Linked DNA regions of Saccharomyces cerevisiae S288C. The gene in region 2 interacts genetically with the main gene of each other region. Each region holds a gene or a part of one and is shown on either strand. Other genes may lie near its edges.

Evidence for each region.
Region 1: mutations in HPF1 (region 2) and SDS23 together harm fitness more than expected from each alone (negative genetic interaction), as found in Saccharomyces cerevisiae (one large-scale study listed by BioGRID).
Region 3: mutations in HPF1 (region 2) and BUD25 together harm fitness more than expected from each alone (negative genetic interaction), as found in Saccharomyces cerevisiae (one large-scale study listed by BioGRID).
Region 4: mutations in HPF1 (region 2) and ERP3 together harm fitness more than expected from each alone (negative genetic interaction), as found in Saccharomyces cerevisiae (one large-scale study listed by BioGRID).

What each region holds. Positions count from the first base shown.
Region 1 is NC_001139.9:395,467-399,546, forward strand, and holds SDS23 (Sds23p), read right to left. Parts: upstream 2,153-4,080; coding exon 569-2,152; downstream 1-568. Other genes in the region: GEP7 (Gep7p), read right to left, coding at 1-363; OLE1 (stearoyl-CoA 9-desaturase), read left to right, coding at 3,162-4,080. UniProt on the Saccharomyces cerevisiae protein: Involved in DNA replication and cell separation during budding.
Region 2 is NC_001147.6:28,190-33,503, forward strand, and holds HPF1 (mannoprotein), read right to left. Parts: upstream 3,418-5,314; coding exon 514-3,417; downstream 1-513. UniProt on the Saccharomyces cerevisiae protein: Involved in cell wall organization and biosynthesis.
Region 3 is NC_001137.3:183,231-186,768, reverse strand, and holds BUD25 (Bud25p), read left to right. Parts: upstream 1-2,068; coding exon 2,069-2,091; coding exon of another isoform or gene 2,092-2,228; intron 2,229-2,549; coding exon of another isoform or gene 2,550-2,599; coding exon 2,600-3,038; downstream 3,039-3,538. Other genes in the region: medium-chain fatty acid-CoA ligase FAA2, read right to left, coding at 1-2,228; HEM14 (oxygen-dependent protoporphyrinogen oxidase), read right to left, coding at 2,550-3,538. UniProt on the Saccharomyces cerevisiae protein: Involved in bud site selection. Required for resistance to the DNA-damaging agent methyl methanesulfonate (MMS).
Region 4 is NC_001136.10:422,333-425,131, forward strand, and holds ERP3 (Erp3p), read right to left. Parts: upstream 1,179-2,799; coding exon 501-1,178; downstream 1-500. Other genes in the region: serine/threonine protein kinase CDC7, read left to right, coding at 1,877-2,799. UniProt on the Saccharomyces cerevisiae protein: Involved in vesicular protein trafficking.

The DNA.
Region 1 (4,080 bases), on a different chromosome or scaffold from region 2:
ATTGAAGAATTTGTTCATAATGACACCAAGCTCGCCGTTGTTTAGACGCTCAGTTAATAAATGATCGCGTTTCAAACCACTTGTTTCGTCTTCATCTAGATCTGGTGCACTTGGCTGCAAGACGCTAAATATCTCGGACATGGTCTGTGAGAAGGAAATGGGGTTTTCTGTAGATGTAGTACTGCCATTTTGAGCTAACCGTATTTTCTGCTTCAAAAGCAGTGAAGCCGGTGGAATTCTTTCTAATTTTGGTTGATAAAATCTCTTTACCAAAAGATTTCCTGCGACTGCTTTAATCATGGGACCGATTCTGAAGGCTCTATGCGATTTTAATCTGAAGATTTTAACATTTGACAGTACCATCTCAATCGGACCTTTTAACTGATTTTAGCGAGAACATGTGTATATATTTCCTCTAAGAAAAGAAAGGGCCTAAAAACCTCGCCCCAGTGCATAATAAAAGTAAAAAAAAAAAAATCAAACTTTATTGGGATAAAATAAAAATCAGAAAAACCCTTATATATGTATATGTAGTTAAATGAAGCCAGTTTTTTTCGTCTGGTTTGTTTCAGCCTATATGCCCTCTTTGCTTTCTTGCCATCTGCGGATCAATTTCCTTATGATGCGTTTGTTTTCTTGCCAAAACACTTAATATGTCAGTCAATGACACAACACCTATCAATTTACCTGTTCTATACTCCTTTTCGAAATGTGCTGGAGTTGGAGATGCGGGACAATTACTTGGACTTTGAGGTGGTGGCATTGTGGCCGATGGAGACTGTGGTTGAGAAGGTGAGGGACCACTCAAATTTATATTTACATTTATTTTATTGTTTGATGTATCTGAAGATTTTAGAACAGGAGAGTTGGCCATCCTGGAAGATTGCGTGTTCGAATGGTATGACGACGCAAGCGATGGCAATGTCGTTACGGGTGGAGTACTTGGTGATGGAGATGAGGATTTTTCGGAAGATGCTGTTGGTTGATTGTCATTTGGTTGTACTATCCATAATCTGTGAGATTTGGTAGCGACCAATTTGGCAAACGTTCTTGCCAGGGAACTTGTTGGATACACATGGAAAATAGGAAATGAGTCCTTACCGGTCTCTAGGCCCCTTAAATTCAAAATAACCGAGACAAAATGACGACATGTATTGTGTAATAAAGGATATTGTGAAGTTCTGGTGACGTGTTTGACGTCTGTTACTGAAATATTACCAATCAAGTTTCCCTGCGGGTCAACTACCGCAATGGAAGAGATTCTTTCGACATACATTTTATGCAGAGCCATAATTAGATGCTCGTCACCTTGGATGGATATGACACGTGACTGCTTGAATGTAGGTTTATCACGGGCTGCATTTAGTACACCAATATTCAGCTCCTCCAGGGAAGAGTCCAAGAGAGGCTTCAAGTTGGGAAATGATCTCGCATTCTCCCACAGATACTTAATCAATCGACGTTGGGAAAGTATACCTTTAATCTGTGTCATTTCCACGTTCGTGATGGCAACACGATGCACACCTGAGCCTAGTATGCCTATTACCGTCGATAAGTTTTCCGTTTCGGGCAATTTGTAGAATGGATTCTTAGGTGTCAACTTTACTATCTCGCCCACGGGCACGGACTTACCATTCTGGCAGTCTGAGGTTATCTTGTCGTTGCTCACCTTGATCCTGTTTAATACAAGAAGAAGGTACGCATTGAGATCATTATAGTCGAATGTTAAACAATTCATGTCTCCCGGAAAATTCTCCACAGGCAAAGACGTTAGCTGGTGCTTGACCAGCGTGTTGAATGCTTCCTCTACGGAAATAGAACCTCTGATGAAAATCAATTTGTTCTGTTCCACCAAATTTGACAGAGGAGTGTGTTGCCACTCCTGCCTATGAACAGATAACAGATTCTGTGAATTCAAGGTGGACAAGGAGTTGCCATTATTGTTTGAGTATTCCGTGTTATCCAGCGTGGAGAGAGAAGATGAAGATGACGATTTCGAAATAGATTTATGTAGTGATTCTGTGTCGCTTTTGTTTGCTTCAGTGTTCTTGTCTGTCTGTTCGCTCAAACTATTTAAATCTGTGGAATTCGGTAATTGAGGTGGGGTAGAAAGCATTTCTACGATGGACGTGTGTCTTGTATTTTGAGGCATTGGGTGGGTCTTGCTGAAAAGATGATGTTCTGAGGTATTCGTATCGCTAGCTTGATACGCTTTTAACAAAAGTAAGCTTTTCGTTTGCAGGTTTGGTTACTTTTCTGTACGAGATGATATCGCTAAGTTTATAGTCATCTGTGAAATTTCTCAAAAACCTCATGGTTTCTCCATCACCCATTTTTCATTTCATTTGCCGGGCGGAAAAAAAAAAGGAAAAAAAAAAAAAAAAAAAATAAATGACACATGGAAATAAGTCAAGGATTAGCGGATATGTAGTTCCAGTCCGGGTTATACCATCACGTGATAATAAATCCAAATGAGAATGAGGGTGTCATATCTAATCATTATGCACGTCAAGATTCTCCGTGACTATGGCTCTTTTCTGAAGCATTTTTCGGGCGCCCGGTGGCCAAAAACTAACTCCGAGCCCGGGCATGTCCCGGGGTTAGCGGGCCCAACAAAGGCGCTTATCTGGTGGGCTTCCGTAGAAGAAAAAAAGCTGTTGAGCGAGCTATTTCGGGTATCCCAGCCTTCTCTGCAGACCGCCCCAGTTGGCTTGGCTCTGGTGCTGTTCGTTAGCATCACATCGCCTGTGACAGGCAGAGGTAATAACGGCTTAAGGTTCTCTTCGCATAGTCGGCAGCTTTCTTTCGGACGTTGAACACTCAACAAACCTTATCTAGTGCCCAACCAGGTGTGCTTCTACGAGTCTTGCTCACTCAGACACACCTATCCCTATTGTTACGGCTATGGGGATGGCACACAAAGGTGGAAATAATAGTAGTTAACAATATATGCAGCAAATCATCGGCTCCTGGCTCATCGAGTCTTGCAAATCAGCATATACATATATATATGGGGGCAGATCTTGATTCATTTATTGTTCTATTTCCATCTTTCCTACTTCTGTTTCCGTTTATATTTTGTATTACGTAGAATAGAACATCATAGTAATAGATAGTTGTGGTGATCATATTATAAACAGCACTAAAACATTACAACAAAGATGCCAACTTCTGGAACTACTATTGAATTGATTGACGACCAATTTCCAAAGGATGACTCTGCCAGCAGTGGCATTGTCGACGAAGTCGACTTAACGGAAGCTAATATTTTGGCTACTGGTTTGAATAAGAAAGCACCAAGAATTGTCAACGGTTTTGGTTCTTTAATGGGCTCCAAGGAAATGGTTTCCGTGGAATTCGACAAGAAGGGAAACGAAAAGAAGTCCAATTTGGATCGTCTGCTAGAAAAGGACAACCAAGAAAAAGAAGAAGCTAAAACTAAAATTCACATCTCCGAACAACCATGGACTTTGAATAACTGGCACCAACATTTGAACTGGTTGAACATGGTTCTTGTTTGTGGTATGCCAATGATTGGTTGGTACTTTGCTCTCTCTGGTAAAGTGCCTTTGCATTTAAACGTTTTCCTTTTCTCCGTTTTCTACTACGCTGTCGGTGGTGTTTCTATTACTGCCGGTTACCATAGATTATGGTCTCACAGATCTTACTCCGCTCACTGGCCATTGAGATTATTCTACGCTATCTTCGGTTGTGCTTCCGTTGAAGGGTCCGCTAAATGGTGGGGCCACTCTCACAGAATTCACCATCGTTACACTGATACCTTGAGAGATCCTTATGACGCTCGTAGAGGTCTATGGTACTCCCACATGGGATGGATGCTTTTGAAGCCAAATCCAAAATACAAGGCTAGAGCTGATATTACCGATATGACTGATGATTGGACCATTAGATTCCAACACAGACACTACATCTTGTTGATGTTGTTAACCGCTTTCGTCATTCCAACTCTTATCTGTGGTTACTTTTTCAACGACTATATGGGTGGTTTGATCTATGCCGGTTTTATTCGTGTCTTTGTCATTCAACAAGCTACCTTTTGCATTAACTCCTTGGCTCATT
Region 2 (5,314 bases):
TTTCTTATACGCAAAAACGCTTTGAAAATTCTCCAAGAATCCTATTTGAAACTCTTATTAATAAATAAAGTATAAATATAATAAAGTTTATTGTGAGACATGTCGCGATAAGCACCCCTTGTCTTTCTTGGAAGGGAGAAATTTGTAATATAAAGCCAAGTGTTCAGAACTCGATTTTTTTCTGACCAAAGAGCGGAAGCTCCACTATAAAAGTTGGGAGGTACTTTTAGGTTCTCTTAAGTTCGCATTTAATTATGGCCTGAACGATTTTACTGTGGACAATAAGTGAAATAAGTGTCCTTAAAATGTGTACGATGTGTACACATCAACCTAGTCTCCCCTTCATTGGCAGAAGAGGGAACCATTTCATCCAAAAAGAATAAAAAAAATAAAAAAAATCCAAATATTAAGCTAAAAAAATACTTAACTGTTTACACAAAGCGTATATAAAACGCATATTAAGAACCTATCTCGTTTCAGAGGAATAAACTTTTAATTCCTCAGTTAAAAAAATTAGTTAAAGAAAGCAAGAACGAAAATACCGACCAATGCATTCAAAGTATTGGCATTCAAACCTGCGGCAATACCCTCGGACTGGACAATGATACCAGTAGAGGTCTTTATTGGAGCTGCAGATTTGGAGTATGTGGAAATTGCACTAGAAGCCTTGGAAATGGCAGTAGTCAATGAGGTTGCTTTAGAACCCTCAGAAGTGACAGTAGTGTATGACTTTGGAGAAGCACTAGTTGCGGTGACGGTTGAAGTAGCTTCAGGTATTTGAGAGGTGATTATCTTGACGTTACAACCATTGTCATCACATTGAGTAACAGTGGCAGTAGTGTATGTCTTAGGGGCAGCACTGGTTTCTGAAGTTTCTGAAGTTTCTTTAGGAGCTTCAGAAGTGACAGTCTTGGTGCTACATCCATTGTCATCGCACTGAGTAACAGTAGCGGTAGTGTATGTCTTTGGAGAAACAGTAGTGGTTGTGGCTTCAGGGGCCTCAGAGGTGACAGTCTTAGTGTTACAGCCGTTGTCGTCACAGTGAGTAACGGTAACAGTAGTGTATGATTTTGGAGAAGTAGTAGTTGCTGAAGTTTCTTCAGGACATTCAGAAGTGACAGTCTTGGTGTTACAGCCATTGTTGTCACAGTGGGTGACGGTAACAGTGGTGTATGATTTGGAAGAAACGGTTTCAGTGGCGACGGTACCGGTAGACGTAGTTACATGACATCCGGTCTCATCGCAAGAAGTGATAGTGGCGGTGGTAGATGAACATGGTACGGTTGTGGTAATGGTATAGACGTTACCGTTCGAATCAGTTGTTTCTGAACAGGAGACAACTACTGTGCTTGTGGTTGTTGCATATGTTAATGTTGTGGTATAAACAGATGGGGAGCCGGAAATCAAGGTGGAAGCCGTTGAACCAGTCACGGAAGCACCGAATGAAGTGGAAGCGGTTGAACCAGTTACGGAAGCACCGAATGAAGTGGAACCGGAAGTAGAGTTGGTAGCCCCTGATGTGGTAGATGTGGATGAGGGTGTAGCGCTGGAAGCAACAACACCTCCGTAATTTAGATAATAAGCATAGGCACCAGCAAATGTTCCTTCGGAGACGTTGAAGCCAGAACTGGAGAACCCAGTACCAATAGAGAAGGAGAATTGTGAGTTGCCTTGTGTTGCAGTTAAAACACCAGTAGCACTGTCGTAAGAAAGAGCAGTGACATCTGCTGTAATGGCGATTTGGTTTTCACCAGTGTATCCAACCACAGGGATAGGAGTAGTGTTGGTTTCGGTTGGGTCAACGGCAAGAACACCTTCACCCTTGAATACAACAGTTTGGCCAGTAAAGGTGTCTGGATAGTGCAAGTAAAGGTTGCCAGAGATGATGTTGATTGTACCACTTCCAGAAACTGGTTCGACAACGACGTAGGTACTGCCATTCTCAAGATTTATCTCACCGTTGTTGACAGAACCTGATTCAGCTCTACGCTGCAAACCAGAGACGGAACCACCATTGAGAATAGCATTTGAGAAAGAGAAAGCACCAGAGTTAGAGTAGGGAGAGAATGTGACTTCGCCCTTTGTGGACTCTGATAGACTCAAAGAAATATCACCACTGTTATCGAAAGAGCCTGGAGTGAAGGAGTAGGCAGATGCGGAAGAAGCAGCAGGCTCTTCAGCGTTAAAGGTACCAGATACATCAAAGTTTTCACCAGAAATGTCGAATTCGGTACCTGGGTAAGTTGGCTTAGACTTTTCTACGAAAACGCCACCATGGATTATGAAATCAGCAGAGAAAACGTATTTGTCACCATCAAGTAGGGTCAACTTACCACCTGCAGCGACTTCGACAGCTTCAGTTGCAATGACTGAACCGGTGAGTGTGATGTCACCACTGATGGTTGTAGAAGGCAAATAAATAGTACCATCGCTGGAAGAAAGAGAGTTGGAAGCAGTTGCAGTTGCACTAGAAGCCGAAGAGGTAATAGAACTTAAGGTACCGGAGGTGATAGAACCAGAGGCAGTGGAAGCCGATGAGGTTGATTGAGGAATTGAACTCGAGATACCTGGAGCAGAAGAAGCTGATGAACCGGAAACGGAGGAACCAGATTGTGTAACAGAACCGGACGTGCTGGAGGCTGATGAACCGGAAGCGGTACCAGATTGTGTGATAGATGATTCAGATGCTGATGAGGATGAGCCTGATTCTGTGACAGAACCGGATGAGCTAGGAACCGAAGAAGCGGAGCCTGATTCTGTGGCAGAAGATGAACCGGAGACTGATGAGCCTGATTCTGTGGCAGAAGATGAACCGGAGACTGATGAGCCTGATTCTGTGGCAGAAGATGAACCGGAGGCGGATGAGCCTGATTCAGTGGCAGAAGATGAACCGGAGGCGGATGAGCCTGATTCAGTGGCAGAAGTTGAACCGGAGACTGATGAGCCCGATTCAGTGGCGGAGGATGAGCCTGATGTAATGGAAGTAGATGAACCGGAGACTGATGAGCCCGATTCAGTGGCGGAGGATGAACCGGAGGCGGATGAGCCTGATTCAGTGGCAGAAGATGAACTGGAGACTGATGAGCCTGATGAAGTAATAGAAGATGAGCCGGAGACTGAAGAGCCTGATGAAGTAATAGAGCTCGAGACTTCAGAGGACGAGGTTGATGGAGCAATGGAGCTCGAGACTTCGGTGGAGGATGACGTTAACTCAGTGAGAGAGCTCGAGACATCAGAAGTAGATGAGGTCAACTCAATAGAACTACTGATGGAAACGGAACCTGATGAAGTTGACGAAACGGCGGTGGAGCTGTTACTAGCGATTGAGGAACTGTTGGTATAATATTGGCCCAATGCACTTTGGGAGTAAAGGACCAAAGCCAAAGCGGCTTGAAGTTTATTAAAGCGATTGAACATCTCTTTGACAGGCGAGATCTTACCAAAAAGAATCAACGATGGGTATTTGTTGTTACTGACTTGAGAACCAGAAAAGGCATAAACCTAAGATAATGGGATGGCAGAACCGATACTAATGAGATGAATATGAAGCTTTTTATATGCTTTTTGCAAGTGTGAGCGGACTCCGAATACGCAACTGCGTAGATTAACCGCTGGGCTAGCTTAAATCTCCTACGGGCACTTCTGCGGAAGCATCCGCAAGTTCTGTGCGCGCGCGTTCCTTGCAACGAACGGGGGGGCATTTTAATGAGTAAACAAAGATATTCCGCTGCTAATAACAACAAGAGACCCCCTAAGCAGTCTGCAAAACCGTGCAGGACGTGGTCTAAGCTACTTTGATAAGATAGTCACAGGAACCTTTTTGGAAAATTAAACTATTACCGAAAAAAGCCACAACACAGGGCCTAGCACCAAGCATTTTCACCCAATTCGTCATGAAAAGTCATTATTACCTTATTTCCAATTGGAGAGTTAGCCAGGAATCTCCGCTCAGAATGAACTAGCAGTATAAAGAAAAATATACGACTTGGATAAAGAGGAATGCTTTAGTAAGCTACACCTCACTTTTCGATGAAAAGGAGTTAGTGGTTGCCTTCCGTGAGCGCGAGATATTTATTTTTATGTTCCTAAGGCGCGTGTCTACCTCGTATTTCTGCAACGCGAGCACGGTTTTCTGTTGAGGAGTGGCTGGTAAAGGCCCTTTAAAAATACCACGCCATTTTAGTAGGCCCTACTAACTAATTCATAGCAAAATTCAGAACTTATCCATTAGAAATAAATTGCGGTGCCTACGAAAAGAACGTTCCCTTGGCAAAATTAAAGAAAAATTAAACGTGATCGGTCTATCGAGCAGGCCATTGAAGCATATGTACAAGCACGGTTTGAGTGCTTAGAATTGAACAGTTATTACAGTTCTTAACACTGTTTCTCTAAAAGTGCAAAAAAGGCACGGTCACATAGACTAATCTTGCAGCGGTTCCAAGGCTTATTTGTTGAGTTGGGTTAGTGGAACGAAGTAGCAGTCAATTCCAACGTAGATCGGTATATACGTTCAAGCCCCCCTGAAAGTTGCCGAGGCCAAATGGAGAAAATAAGTTGTTCCCCTCTTTTTATTAAGAATTAAAGTGTTCTATTTTAGATTGATTTCCTACCATTGGTTTCAACTTCTCTCTCTGATTCAGTTAAGCGACGGTGTTTTTAATTCAGATTTGATTGTCCGTCTCCATTTTTTGGTAAGATAAGTGTGAGCAAGTTTGAGGGGTTACTACTGACTCAGAAACCGTACTGCTATGTAGTACTTGCCTTCGTCCTACCTAGTAACTATTATTTCTACCTAGGAAACATTTTAGGGTATGATCTACCCCATTGCGGGGTGCCTTTTTCTTACGTTAGCGAGTACTCGAATGAGGGTGAAATGGCATCGTCATTGATTGCCGAGGACAGACTCCCCAACATTGAGGTGTTTATGGTTGGCCTTACTGATAAACCATAAAAATACGGTCCGATATGTGTAGTGGTTCCGTTATATTTTTGGCATGGTAAGCATGTATAGGTATATGCTACATTCAATTATCTGGAAAGGCGGTTTTTTAAGCTCATTTTCTTTTTTGAGCTTATTCTTGAAGATAATGCTATCACACGTGCATAATAAAATAGTAGCTTTTTCTTGTAACTGCGCTCTTTTTTAGCCGCATTCCAATTTAGCCTTAAATCGTGAACGTGGAGATGATTATTTCATCTCAACTAACTTGTATAACCTTATTTGCGTAGTCTTCGCGGGGTAATTTTTGATGGTGTAAACTTTTACCATAGAAATACGATACTCTACATGTAGTTTTGTCTATTTAGTGAAATC
Region 3 (3,538 bases), on a different chromosome or scaffold from region 2:
TTTTCTGTCTTGACTAGTGAACCTTCGGCGTATAGTTGGTCTAATGTATCTTTGAAGAATTTTGATGCTTTGGCACGCTTTATTTTAAAAGTTGGCGTCACAACATCATCCTCGAGAGTTAAAGGCTCAAGTCCGACTTTGATGTTATGCAATTTTTCGAATCCTTGTAGCCCATCGGTGCATTTATTAATTTTGTTTAAAAATTCCTTCCTTAGCTTTTTATTACGATTTAAGTTTTCTACTAGCACTTCCTTAGTCCACGTTTTCACCTCTGGGTGCTTTGCAGCTAAAATCGGTTGCGCTGCATCAACATCAACACCAACGATGCCAACTAAAAATGTCTTTAAAGGATCTCCAAAGACAAATATTTGCGTGATATAGGGGCATGATGATAAATAAATATTTTCGATTTTCTCTGGAGCAATATATTCACCATGTGCTAGCTTGAAAAAGTTCTTGACTCGATCAATGACGCTGATGCGACCTTTTCCATCGATAAATGCAACATCTCCCGTGGAAAACCAACCATCTTGGTCAACGGCTTTTGAAGTTTCATTCGGATTTTTAAAATATCTTTCAAAAACCTGTGGGCCACGAATTTGCAGTTCACCTTTTAAATCCTTGTCGGCATGGTAACCCATTTCTGGAACAGACTTCAATCTACATTCTGCAGAAATACCTATGGCACCACAAGATCCGACATCTTTTTCAAACGGTTCGCTTAAACAGACACCAGCAAAAGTTTCAGTTAAGCCGTAGCCCTGTCTTATACCAATATCCAAGGCACTTCTTAAAAATAGTAAGGTATCTTTAGATATGGGAGCTGATCCGGTAATTATAAACGAGTTATTGGACAAACCTAAAGAGTCTCTGATTTTATCAATCAATACGCGATGATAAACTAGAAAATTCATAATCGATTTATCTGGACCACCTCTTGCGGTAAATCTGGCCGATTTAGAATCCAATATAGTATTTGCTACGTTCCTCTGGACAGTCGATTTATCCAAAGCGTTTTTTATACCGGCTTCAAACCGTGTTAATATTCTAGGAACCAGGGCAACCGCGTAAGGTTTCAAAATCTTCAAATCCTCTACCAATACAGTTGGGTCTGGTTTATGTAAGAAGCCTATTCCAAACCCGATGGCTAGATCATACGCAATAACCATTCTTTCAAAAATATGAGCCAATGGCAAAAAACACATATCATATAACTGTTGGTTTCTTTTATCTGGCGGTATTCTGAAGGTAGAAAAAGCAAATGCTATCCCAGACGCAATGTTTCTGTGAGACATTTCCACACCTTTAGGTAAACCTGTAGTACCAGAAGTAAACGAAATAGTATACAAGGAATCTGGGGTAGGTGGAATTGCAGGAATTTTGTTAAAGCAACCAACTTGTTCTACCTGCTCCAATGAAAAAAATGTGATTTTTTCATTGAGAGAGTTGCACTTAACGGGTAGCAACGATTCATTTAGCATACGGAGCTCGTCATGAGTTAATTCATCCATACAAACCAAAGTATTAACAAATTTCATATCAGGCACCATCTTCAATACATGATACATATTTGATTTTGCAAAAATCAGAATGGGGGCCTCGGTTAAATTCAATATGTACTCGGAGGTGTTTGGACCTAATGTTTCGTACAAAGCCGTGTTAGTTAGAGAATAGGCCTGACAGGCCAAATCTGTTAGGATCCATTCAGGGTTGTTGTGTGATAAGATAGCAACAACAAAATCATTGGCTTCCAAAGGACGTTTCCTTTTCGTGTTTACCAAAGACAATATACCACTTCCGATATTATGACATCTTTTAGATACCGTGGAGTACGACTCGAAACGGAATGTTTCCTCCCAGGTGCCTGTGGCTTTATCAATTGGCCTTGAACCTAAACAGTCACGTTGAGGCCATCTCCTTGCAGAAAACATGAAGTGATCGTATGCAGTTCTTAAGTTTTTATCCACACAGCTCACTAGATTTTCAGAAGAAAGAGAACTCCTATAAATCGAGCTAAAACCAGCTTCATTATCCGGATTCGAAATGGCAACCGCCTGTTTCTTTAAAAATGTTTTGTACCTGGGATAGCTGGTCAGTGGTAATTGAGAGTATAGCTCTTCAATATATTCATCAGAGCCTTTGGTGTAACCGGCTAATCTTGTCTTCAAACTTTCGAAACGAGGATCCGATTCAATTAAATCGGTAAGTGCATAATCTGGAGCGGCCATATTTCGAAACAAGTTTGTTCTTATCCGTTTTTTGTAACCTGCATTCTTCCACTTCCCTTAGCCATGCGTTTCCGATGCTTTATATAGTTCCAACCCATCATCGCTCAACTCCGCAATTAATATTGAGTTCCCTCGTTTTGACTCCAACCCATCATCGGCGGCTCGGCGTTAAAGACTGACGGTCCGGAGGATGTTCTGAAAAATTTGGTTAATATAAATAAATTGTGTCTTTTGATACTAACTACTTTTTCTTATTAGCTGATAACTGCCTCAATTGTCAAAAGAAGTAGTTTGCGTAAAGCTAACCATATATATACGTACTTATTTGCTTAGCTGTAAGGCGTCGTTAAAGCCGTCTACAATAACGTCAGGGACACCGGGACTTCTAGAAAATCCCATTCCCCCCACAGAAACTGTTTGGCCGTAAGATTCTTGCAACTTCCTTTCAGCTCTTTCTTGCCATGCGTCATAACCTACATGAAATCTTGGCAGACATCTATCGGCGATAGTGAATTCCCACTGACCAGCTTCCAGATCCTTGTTACTGATGCCGAGGTGGTTGTTCAGCGCATCTTTGACTGCATTAATGGTTACCTCCCTGGATGGCACTACAGGAACACCGTGTTCATTGAGCATACAACCTCCTATCATCGCAGTCACTTTTGTATATTTGTTGAGGGCGTTTGGGTTTGTGGAGAGTTTGTCAAAAAGTGGTTTGAAATTCCTTTCGATAACAGAATCGAAAATTACACCAAGCAATTTCCCTGGATTCTTATTGGATTTGGGAACCAAGTATCCAAAGCCTTGTAGATCGGCATCTATTACATCTTTGTTTGGCAAATAATAATTAACTAAAATTATTGTGTTTGATTGTATCTCATCTAATAACTTGGATAATGAATTTTGATCCTTCGGTAGCAATTTAGCGATTTTGGGAGGTGTTATCGTAAGTCTTAAATGGTCAAATGTTTCGTATTGGTCGCCAGATTTCGCTTTCAATCCGATTGTCGTTTCGTTAGCAGGGCGTTTCATTATTTGCGTAACCGGGTTCCCAGTAACTATTTTGACGTTTTTAAATTCGTTCAAAGCATTTCTGACTATCTTGGGAAACGTTTCTAGTCCCCCAGCAAGACCCAACATGGGATATTTCTTTAGCGTGTTGGATAAGTCTAATAACTTTGACCTGTCTTTTCCAAACGCATTTGAGTAGTCGTTAAGGCAGCCAGTTAAAGATTGGTGCAGGTTCTCAGTTTTTTTACTTCTTGACTTTCCGCGCATATTATCAATCATAGCTTGTGTGTTAGATCCGT
Region 4 (2,799 bases), on a different chromosome or scaffold from region 2:
TGTTCAATCTTGCCTGTAATGCGGATTGACTCTTTGTAAACAATTTTACAAGATACATTAATAGATGAATCGGCAATTTTTCTTTTTCAAAGTTGTGTTATATCCTTGTATTTTCTGGCACACTTGCTTATCACTTCTTTCACTAAAAATATAGTTTAACACTCCAAGAGGAATACCATCCCCAAGCGAGTTGATTGACTGCAAGTGTAATTAAATAGGTGGAAATTGCATGGTGCATATGCCAATGGCTAAGAAAAAATTACTCTTACAAAGATTATTTTGTCAATTTCTCGAAGAAAACAATGCTACATTTTGAAATAGGATTTTTTAAATCGTGACATGTGCTTTAATAGAAACGTCACTTCAGCTCTGTCATTACATAAGATTTAACATGAGCAAAAGGGCTATTTTGGATACGGTATGTCATTCCTTTCCCCTATTAAATATGAAGAACATATATTCTCAAGTTGATAGAAAATGCAGGAACAATACACAACTATTTACACATTATGCTTTCTCGATTCTCTGAAAATGAACTCCAGTATGGCAATTTGAGCGCAGCTCATTCCGATGATTAATAATATGCCGTAAATAGAAAACATTACAATTCTATGCTCTGTTGAACAAACGGTGTGATGATTTCTGGTGTTTCTGCTTTTATAGTACTGTATATTACGTTCCAAAACGTGGAGCTGCCTTTCTATGGTGTCTATAGAATTTTCCACACTGTCTTGCAAGGGATCGGTTTTAGAGTCTCTCAGGTTTCTCTGCGCCTTTCTCGCCTTGCGTCTTTCATTTCGAATATCATCTTGGCGTTCACAATTGTACTTGAAGTCCAGATCAACAATCTTGTCGTGTGCTTTACCACCATAAAAGCAGATAGCATATTCTCCCTTATGTTGGCCTATAAATGACCATTCACCTTGACGTTCACCAGATCTCTCGATTATTGGCTTGTTTTTGTCATCAGGAGCAAATATTTCGTAGTTAACATCAAAGTCATTGCTCTCTCCTTGCTGTACTGCAAAATAATATGAGATTGTACAGTCAATTTCCGGAGTTAGCGTATATAAGCACTCCTTTCGACCTTTATTCAGTTCAAATGTCAACGGTGATGCCTCAGCAAAAAATTGTGCTAAAAAAAAAAACTGGAAGAAAAGTACACATAAATTGGACATGACGGAGTTTTTTAGTCAGTTCACAGTGTCCCTTCAAGTACGGTAACTATCAAGAGCCTTACCAGTTTCTGTCAAGATATTGTCCCCCCAAATTCTTTCATTGAGGAGAGGATTATGAAGAACGCGTTCTGTTTTAAAGAGAGAAAAATTCAGGTCAGGACGCGTTGGTCTCACCTTTGTTGACATAATGACCATGACAGTGTAGGAAGTCTAAGTAGTATGTGGAAACCTACGCGATCATACTGATACGTTCGTAAACTTTATCAACGAACGACGCTTTTTTTTTAAACCTCTATATAAGCATGTTTTTAGCTTGGGAAATTAAGGTGTAGCCCTGGTTTTGAAGATAATTAAGAATCTAATGGGGCAATGCTTGTGTAGATGACATTTTATAGAGTAAAATTACTTCCCGTTTAGCTCGATAAACGCCTTAGGCCTACATAAATCTTAAACATTTGTCCCCGGTCAGCTTTTAAATTATGTCTTCTTTGCCCTGGGGCGTCTTCTTGAACGGCATCAATTTAGTGAGTAGAAGAGCACTTCACATTTCCGCCTAAAATCAATGCAAGAACCATTAACAAAAAAAACCGCTCAGCAGGCGTAACGGGAAGTAACAGACTACCTTAAATTTTCAATAACAATTGTGCTATTATCTAATTTTCTTAGGAAAGAGGCAGTTTCGAAGTAGAACAATCATAATGACAAGCAAAACGAAGAATATCGATGATATACCTCCAGAAATCAAAGAAGAGATGATACAGCTCTATCATGATCTACCGGGTATAGAAAATGAATATAAACTCATAGACAAGATCGGTGAGGGAACATTTTCGTCAGTGTATAAAGCCAAAGATATCACTGGGAAAATAACAAAAAAATTTGCATCACATTTTTGGAATTATGGTTCGAACTATGTTGCTTTGAAGAAAATATACGTTACCTCGTCACCGCAAAGAATTTATAATGAGCTCAACCTGCTGTACATAATGACGGGATCTTCGAGAGTAGCCCCTCTATGTGATGCAAAAAGGGTGCGAGATCAAGTCATTGCTGTTTTACCGTACTATCCCCACGAGGAGTTCCGAACTTTCTACAGGGATCTACCAATCAAGGGAATCAAGAAGTACATTTGGGAGCTACTAAGAGCATTGAAGTTTGTTCATTCGAAGGGAATTATTCATAGAGACATCAAACCGACAAATTTTTTATTTAATTTGGAATTGGGGCGTGGAGTGCTTGTTGATTTTGGTCTAGCCGAGGCTCAAATGGATTATAAAAGCATGATATCTAGTCAAAACGATTACGACAATTATGCAAATACAAACCATGATGGTGGATATTCAATGAGGAATCACGAACAATTTTGTCCATGCATTATGCGTAATCAATATTCTCCTAACTCACATAACCAAACACCTCCTATGGTCACCATACAAAATGGCAAGGTCGTCCACTTAAACAATGTAAATGGGGTGGATCTGACAAAGGGTTATCCTAAAAATGAAACGCGTAGAATTAAAAGGGCTAATAGAGCAGGGACTCGTGGATTTCGGGCACCAGAAGTGTTAATGAAGTGTGGGGCTCAAAGCACAAAGATTGATATATGGTCCGTAGGTGTTAT